Linked DNA regions of Oryzias latipes. The protein of the gene in region 1 binds, or shares a complex with, the protein of each later gene. Links are inferred from orthologs where the notes say so. Each region holds a gene or a part of one and is shown on either strand. Other genes may lie near its edges. The genes, in order: lsm11 and lsm10.

Evidence for each region.
Region 2: lsm11 (region 1) and lsm10 share a complex: the UniProt entries of both Homo sapiens proteins name them as parts of the heptameric ring U7 snRNP complex. The link is inferred for Oryzias latipes from reciprocal best matches to the Homo sapiens genes LSM11 and LSM10.

What each region holds. Positions count from the first base shown.
Region 1 is NC_019868.2:20,588,755-20,593,145, forward strand, and holds the start of lsm11 (U7 snRNA-associated Sm-like protein LSm11), read left to right. Parts: upstream 1-1,319; 5' UTR 1,320-1,417; coding exon 1,418-1,844; intron 1,845-2,099; coding exon 2,100-2,239; intron 2,240-2,317; coding exon 2,318-2,401; intron 2,402-4,087; coding exon 4,088-4,391. Other genes in the region: thg1l (probable tRNA(His) guanylyltransferase), read right to left, coding at 12-181, 269-445, 550-737. UniProt on the Homo sapiens protein: Component of the U7 snRNP complex that is involved in the histone 3'-end pre-mRNA processing. Increases U7 snRNA levels but not histone 3'-end pre-mRNA processing activity, when overexpressed. Required for cell cycle progression from G1 to S phases.
Region 2 is NC_019869.2:19,827,440-19,831,656, reverse strand, and holds lsm10 (U7 snRNA-associated Sm-like protein LSm10), read right to left. Parts: upstream 2,829-4,217; 5' UTR 2,653-2,828; intron 1,761-2,652; 5' UTR 1,700-1,760; coding exon 1,295-1,699; 3' UTR 780-1,294; downstream 1-779. Other genes in the region: protein OSCP1-like, read right to left, coding at 4,025-4,147. UniProt on the Homo sapiens protein: Appears to function in the U7 snRNP complex that is involved in histone 3'-end processing. Increases U7 snRNA levels but not histone 3'-end pre-mRNA processing activity, when overexpressed. Required for cell cycle progression from G1 to S phases.

The DNA.
Region 1 (4,391 bases):
TGAGTGCTTACAGTCCGCTTGCCTCCAGCTGAGGTAGTCTCTAAGGTTACGGTTAGTGGGGTAAAGAACCACACGTCCGTCGAAGCTTGGGGGGTAAAGGAGGGGCTGTTCTTCAAAATACTCCTTCCAGTAGAAGACATAGGAGGAGGAGAACTGGGAGGCCACGTGGGTCATGAGTTTGCTGCCAGAAAAAAAACAAGAAAGGAAGATAAGTTTCATCTTAAATGAGCATAATAAAGTAGAAAAATTTTATAAGAGAGCAAACTACCTGGCTCTTCGTTTAAACCAATTGGAGGTCCTCTTGAAAACAAAGCTAAACTCGTCACTTTGACCATAAGCAATGATGATATCCTCCAATTCTTCCATGACAGACTGTGCACTCCTGGTCATGAGCCCTAAAGCTCTGTTATCATTGGGTTTTGTAAAACCATGTTGCTCTGAAAACCTAAAACAAGGTGAAAAAAACAAAACAATAAAATGTTCAAAGTTCAGAAAATATCAACAAATCACCAGCCATTTACACCAGTACAGAATAAACTACAAACTTACTTGTGGAAATTGCGACCATCCAGCCTAACAACAATATAACAGTTCCGTAGGCATGTGTCGTCCGTTTCAAAGCTGCGGACATACTCAAATTTGCTCTTAGCCATATTAGGAGAATTATAAAAGTGACGAAAAAAAGGAACAAAATAGGACCGTGGTCCACTAAAACTCCAAAGTTTTCCAATCAACATCAAGCATTCCCGAGAGAAAAAAATTACAAGAGTAGAGATAAATATTTTATAGTAAATAAACGTCTTGTATCGACGTCAAATCCATTTAAATGGTTAATGTTTAAATACTTGTCTGCCTTTGACGTATTTCTGTGGTCCTCCTTCACGTTGTTTTGAGTGCAGTCCGTCGATTAATGTTGTAGTTGTAAACCATAAGCTGTGACACATAGTTCCGGAGGGGGAGGAATACATTAATGTAAAAAAAAAGTAAATTGTTCCAAAAGAAAATACAACATGACAAAAGTATGATTACATACAATACATTTTTATAACGGTAAATTGATTAATCCACTTTTTCTAAGTTAATTTCAGCATGATGTCTACGATTAGAGCAATGCGCCTTAATTCCCTGTTCTTTAGTGACATCTTGTGTTCAATTGTTGTAATTTAACTTTCTTTTTTTTTTTTTTTAGCACCGGAGGTTGTGGGACTTGTAGTTGAAAAATTATTTCAGATTCTATTTTTAAATTGTATTTATTTCAATATCAAGCAATAAGTCAAATGTGAAAATAAACAGTCAATAATATAAATGATGAACGCCAGTTAAGTTTAAATGAGGGAACACGTTTTTTTTTTTAAGTTTGAGTTTTCCCAGCATTCATTGCTTCTGCAAAATCCGCTCTTTTGCGGTTGTTTCAAATATGGAGGAAAGAGAAAGAAAATCCGTTGAACCAGACCATAATGTGACTGAAGCAACGTCTGCTGAGGGCGCAACGGGACGAGACAACGAGAGCAGCGACCCCGCGGACAAAATAAACGTCTGCTCAGACAACTTTGATCCGCTTCTGGCCCTGTACTCTTCGACTGCGCCGCCGCTTCCTTTCCCAAACATCAAGTGCTTCAACAATGTGGCCGAGTACGAGAGCTTTCTGAAAGGCGGTCGGGGTCGAGCAAAACCGGAGAATGTCGAGAAAAGGCGACGAAAAGCGCTGAAAGGAGTCGCGGATCCGGAGCGCATTGACAGACTGAGGAAGCTGATGGTTTCCTCCTCGCAGGAAGGAGAGGGTAGCACCGCGAAACCGAGGAGGAAGCAGAAGATTCTGAAAAATGTCCTGACCAGGATGCCCCGTAGGTTCAGAAACACGCCTGTAGTTCACTATATCATATACATATAAGTTAACCAATCAGCTTAAAGAAGAATAACCTGAGTATTGTTGGTAATTAATAATAATATCCCAGTTTATAACTGATCAGAGAGTTCAACACACAGCTTTTGTAGACTTTTAAAGTTTGAGGAGTAAACATATAACATATATTTTTTAGGAAAACATCATTTAAAAGGGTTTGGTTTTTATGTAATTGCTCCATCTTCTGCATTCTCAGTGTGCAAGGGGAGTCCTTTGGGTGAACTGCATCGCTGCATCCAGGAGCGGATAAGAATCAAAGTTCACATCAGGACCTTCAAAGGAATGAGGGGCGTGTGCTCTGGCTTTCTTGTGGCCTTTGACAAGTTCTGGAACATGGTTGGGAAATTCTCTCCATTCTTGTTACCTTCTTGGATTTGTGACAGGAGTGTTTATGTTGTCATTTCTCCCCGACAGGCTATGGTGGATGTGGATGAGACGTACAGGGAGCCGCTGTTCGGGGAGGCGTTGTACCACGAGAAGGCGCTCACCATTTCACGGGTTTGTACTCACGGAAAAACAATAGTAATATTTTCATAATTATGGGCACCAATTACTACTTACTCACTGTAAAAAGTGTAATAAAACATTTGGAGGTTGAGGTTTAAAGATCCACTCATTTTTGAGTATTTCTTTATTCAAATTACTATGAAACAGGAGCAGACGAAAAAAGGCAATTGGAAAAAGCTTGAACGTGTGACGTACAAGTCACTACGGCAAGCCACAAGGTCCTTGCTCCATTCTGACGTACGTCTTTGATTTCCCCATTCGAGCTGGCATTCGGCTCAAAACTGTGCGGCGATGTTGCTCCCATTTTTGTTGCACCGGTAACATTAGGTTGGGGTTGTGAGGGGCTGACGGGAGAGAGTGTTAAAAAAAAGGGGGGGGATCATGGGAAGTAAGGCCAGACTTACTCTGTGCCAACATTCCAACCCAGAACTCAAAGACAAATTTTATTTTATTTTGGCTTAAAACGACATAATCATATAATTAAAAGACCACTGGGAACGCTTTCATAAAAAGATCTAAAGATGATTGGAGTTCATCTTTAAATATTTGCAGCATATAGAAGGATCTTAAACCTCCTAAAACTCTGGATGCACATTTGGGAACATTACATTTTTGAGTTTCGTCAACATAAAATTTAAAATTATTGTTTTGTGATATCGGCCTGTGCGACAGACGTGTCGCAAAAGACAGCATACACTGTGATAAATGATTAACTTTAATGTTTACACAAATACTAAAACAACCTTATGGCACCTTAAAAGTATTTAAAAAAATCAAGCAAATCCCTTTATTCCTTTGACAAATCGGATGTGGCCCATGACATCGTTGACTAATCAAACAGACTGCCATTATGTTACCTCGTATGTAAACTTGGGTCATTTGGAGTACAATATAAATTATGTTGACTTTTATTTAAATAGAACTGTTGCAATGAAATGGAAATGATGCATTTGCTGTTTCTTTTGGAATTTGTTCATGTATTTATAGCCATCACATTTATATTGCCATCACAATATTGATCATCAATATCGCACATCGCATGTTTTACTCATATTTTGCAGCAGTACAAAAGGGAAAGATAGTAAAAAAATATATATATATAGATAGATATAAATATTACTATTGACATCATGCATTATAAATTTGTCAAATCTGTTGACTTTCTTTTTCCTTTCAAGTAATTAAAAGGCGGAAAAATGACCTTTTCTGTAATATTTGAATAAAGCTTTTCCAAATTTCTTTTTTTATAATCAAAGTTTTATGTTGCAAAAATTGTTTTCCATAGAGAAACACATATTTTAAAAGGACATTTTTAAAATCCGTAATAAACTTAGTTGTTTCTACTCAGCCCTGTTCATCACAATCATGTAAAACATCCCATAAAAACTATTTATGGAATTTATAGTTTTTTGATAGATTTTAAAAGTAATGGTTCAGAAATGAATGTCTAACACTTTAGGACCATTTGCAGGAAGATCATGTTAGTTTTTAGCTTTGAATTTGTATCTTTTTTTTTGGTTGTTTATATGTTAATTTAAAGAGGAAATACTATATTTGTGTCTGTATACTTCTGGTTTTGTCCGTCACAGTGGTGGGTTTTATTACCACATTTGCCACACTCATTCATTCTTGTTTGCTCAACATTAAAAGGAATATTGCTGCCTGTGTTTTGTCCAGCTCTTTGAGAAGCTGAATCTTCAGGAAAGCCCAGGCGGGACTGACGTCCAGGAAAAAGCCGACCAGCATCCACCTGCAAATCCCAGAGCTGCCCCGGAAAGCTGCTTTGCTCAGATGGAGGGTGACGGCGCGACATCCCAGTCCGACCTGCCAGAAGCTATTAAAAGCAAACAGGGTAAACTCCAAGTCTCACTGAAGGCGAAGGACCCGCACATGCATCCGAAGGGGGAATCCCAAAAGTACGGGAAAGTCTACACACGCCACATCAACCAGCTTTTTATTCGTGGTGAGAATGTTATCCTGG
Region 2 (4,217 bases), on another chromosome or scaffold:
GGCACTTGAGTTGGGTCATCTAGACCCACTAGACAGTGCTCTGAACCTTTTTTCTTCAATGATTTGTGATCTTCACTGGTGTCCATGGATTACATGAAATCCTCTTCACCTTCATCCACCTTTGTCATGGTAGGGAGAACACGTCAATGTAAGGGTGGGGTCATCTAAGATAGCACAAGGGCTAGAGCACAGAGCCTCGAGGGTTTTCCAACCAACCTGCCATTGAAGCTCCTTATTGGCTGAACACACCTGATCCAGGTAAATCAGCAAAAGACGAGCCCTTTGAGACCCTGATGCTCCTGTAATAGAGGTTTGATAAAATGTCTTCATTCTTTGGATTAAAAATATAATCTACAACCTGTTTGGAGCTGAGGACAATAGCTGGAGCCTCCTGGAGAGAAGCTCTTTTTGTCATTGGGACTTAAGTAACTGAGGACATCTGCTAGAAAGTCCCGAACTGAGAAATGTTTCAGTGTTGATGGTGCTTTTGGGTCCAAACCAGAAAATAAATGAATTATCTACTACTTTCTGAGTACCCAACAGATGTTTTGATTATTTCTCTGCCACAGTGTTTAACAAGCTGCAAGTAAATATAGGAAAAAACAAGAAAAATGAAAGTTTTTTTATTATAACTGCATCAACTACAAGTGTTATTTTACAGAAATATCCCCTTTTTTCACAGCTACGAAGCTGCTTCTCCAACCAAAGAAAATTTTCGCCCCCTGCAGGCGGAAAACTGAAATTGCAGTTGAGCAAGAAAATCACAAACATGTATTCAGTCAGGTCACTTTATTCACACCTTAAAGTTTTAGCTATATTTTTATTAAATAAAAAAAATGCATAAAATTGCTTCAAATGGCTTTAATTTTACACAAAAATTTTAAAGGAAAAGTTTTTACGGCAACTAAGATGGGTCAAAACAATCAAATCCATTCTGTTTTAGGATGGCTGGAGCTAAATAAGAAAAGGACTACGATTATATTTGTATTCATTTCCAGCAAAAATAAATGTTAACATGATAAACATGTCATCCTTCAAACTCAATTGTCCAAATGTTTATATTTACATGAATATTTATTTTTTAAGTTTACTTTTTTTCCCCAACAGATCAGGAACAAAACAACTTTATTTTAAGGCTGAAAGTGTTTTAAAAAAATCTGCATATTTCATTAATTTGTCCATTATTTCAACATTTTGTAGTGAAATCTGTTTTTGAAGACAGTCTCCACGTCAGTTGGAGGGGTTACCCTCAGGGTGGGGTTAGGCTGAAGCTCCAGAAATTTCCATCAAATTGTCATTTTTTCCTCCCGCCAAACTCCTTCCTGCCCCCGCCTTCGCCGGCGAAGTTGCGTACCCGGTGGATCTTGGCCAGCTGGCTCTCCATGGTCTTCATGATGTCCACGTGGTCGGGGATGTGCACGTAGCGCACGTTTCTGCCGGTGATGAACAGGTCCTGCAGCTGGGCGGTCTGCCCCCGCCGGTCCAGGAAGAGCACATCCTTCAGACGGATGTTCATGAAGGCGTCCACATTGAGCACGAGCCCCCGAGCTGAGCTCTCGTCCCTCAGGTCCACCGTGGTCACCTCCCCCTGCAGCCCCTGCAGCAGGACCACCATGCTGTTCTCCGCGATCGTCCGCTCGCGGATGGAGTTCACCACCTCCACCCCCACTGTGGCGGACTCGACCGCCTCAGGTTCCATGGAGTCTAGGAGCGGAGGACGGAGCAGTGGGGGGCTTTAAGTGTGACACCAGGGACCCCCCCTCCGCAGGAAAAAACACAACCAGTCAAAACAACAAGTTTCATTATTACATTTTATCTGAGTTCAGCCTCCAGAAGTTTTTCTTTGACATCAGAACTTATATTTTTGGAGTTTTTAAAGCTTTTGACCCGAGATGATTCTGCCTGACCTTGCTCCAACATTCAGCACCAGAATTCTCTCAGGTTAAAGTTTAAGGTCATGGATATGGATTTCCTCTCAATATTAAAAAGTGCACAAACCGAGAAAAACACTGATCTTTTCTCTCAAAAGTCTTTGTAATCTCTATTTGATTTGATCAGGAGTCTGGGTCATGATCCTGCATTTGTGTATTTTGTCTACAATGTTTTACATTGTATAACTATAGGACAAACTAATAAATACATTTCCCAGCAGACAACATCTACTCTGGAGCCTCCATCTAAATCAAGCAGAGTATTATTTCCCATAAATCTTTGCGGGACATTTTGATGTTAGAGAAAAACACCTTTTTTTAAACATGCTCGATTGTAGCTGACTTGCTTCCTTATATGAAGAACATTTTAAAAAAAATGATGGAATATATTAGATCTCAGAACCATTTGGAACTCCGTGAAACAGCCCAGGATCAGCTGTCAGCGCGGAAAAGTAAACATTACGACCAAAGACAAAAGCTTATTATTTGTCAGCAAAGTCGAACAGTTCCCATTTAAATCTTTTTTAAGGTTAAATATGGCAGCTGCTGCATTTGAACATCTAATTATCAGTTAGCTTGAATAGCAAAGCACCAGAGGAATTAAAGTCACTCAAGACATTTAAACGAGAAAATACAAAACACACAGAGTTAGCCATTAGCTTTAGCTAAACGAAGCTCCGTAACTCTTCCATTATGAAGCGAAAGTTGCCAAAACATTTACCAAAATATGCCGGACATGAGTCTAGTGTAACTCTGGTTTGATATTCTTCCGATAAATGTTGTTGGAACCAGCAATCTCGCAGACTCTGCCCCACGTCACTTTAAAAGTTGATTTCCCGCATTCAGGTCGACGTATTATACGTACTGACGTCAGAACCTCGCAGCCAATGAATGAGCAGCCTTTTTTTTAGAATGAAAGCTTTATTTAAAACGGTCACAACACCCGACCATTAGATTTGATTTTTGTTAGATGTACTAACAATAACATACGTCAGCTGTCAATAAAAGAAGAAAATTAGGAAATTAATTAATCCTCTTTAAACTTTAACAATGTTTTAATATGGATTGTTTTTATGGCTTTTTTTATTATTGTTTATTGGATTGTGTGTGGTGAATGCAAGGACCTGGACGCTTTTTAATTTCCTTTTCAATAAATAAAGCTTCTTCTTCTTGTTCTTTTTCTTCTAAATATGTTTGTGATTCTCAGCTATCAAGATCATGTTATCACCGAATTCTGTTTTTAAGGCATTTGGGACTTTATAAGGTGATCTGAGAGGTTTACAACAATTTAATAGGATATAATATTCTTTTCTAACAATAACAAAAACTCAATGTATTGAAAAATACTGTAGAAAAAACGTACTTCATTTACCCTTTTAATTTTTAAAATTCTGTATCTGAGTTTATCTGACTCTGGATTTAATAAAATATAAACATAAGAAGATTCTTTAATCTAACCCTGAATATTTGAATTGTTACTGAAATGCCTGAGGTAAAATTCCATAATAATTTACTTTTGGTAAAATTTAATGAACTATTTGATACGTCTTTTTTAAATCATAGCTTTGAATAATCAATCTGATGTGTAATTTTTAACATTGATTTTCTAGTAAAACTGATCTGGGATGACGTATCACATACAAGCATTATAAAAGTTAAGATCACCGTTGTTCAAGTATTTATCGAGATAGTTCGTTTAAAGTAAAAGTGGTTCCAAAACAGATCCTTGAGGAACACATGGAGAGCTATACAGATGAATAAACCATTTGAGATTATCCTGAATGATCCTAATCCCAACAAAAATGCCTCATTTTCATGATTGTCCTCCTTGATCTTTCATGCAGATTTATTATGTTACAGATTTAATCAAAGTCCCAGTTTAAAAAAATACTATAATAATAATAATAATAATAATACTTTAAAACTTTATTAAAACATGCCAACTGGAAATTCAATCTGTTAATAATCCTCATGTTAACTTTACATCTCACAGATAGACTGACTGATGAAACTGAGATAGAGACAGATACAAAGCTGCCCTGAATGTGTACTGCATCTTTGTTATTGTAACAGGATAAAATCACAGGGGTCAGTCAGAGGTCATCCATCATGGCCAGCAGCTCGTCTCCTTTGCTGCTGCCTTGGTCTTCGTGCTTCAGCTCTTCCTCTGCAAACTGAGCGGCGATTCGAGCGAGCTCAGCAGATGCCTGTTCATCCTGAACGCACACACAAAAACACACACAAACACACACACACCAAAATGATCATATTAAAGATCAAACTGGT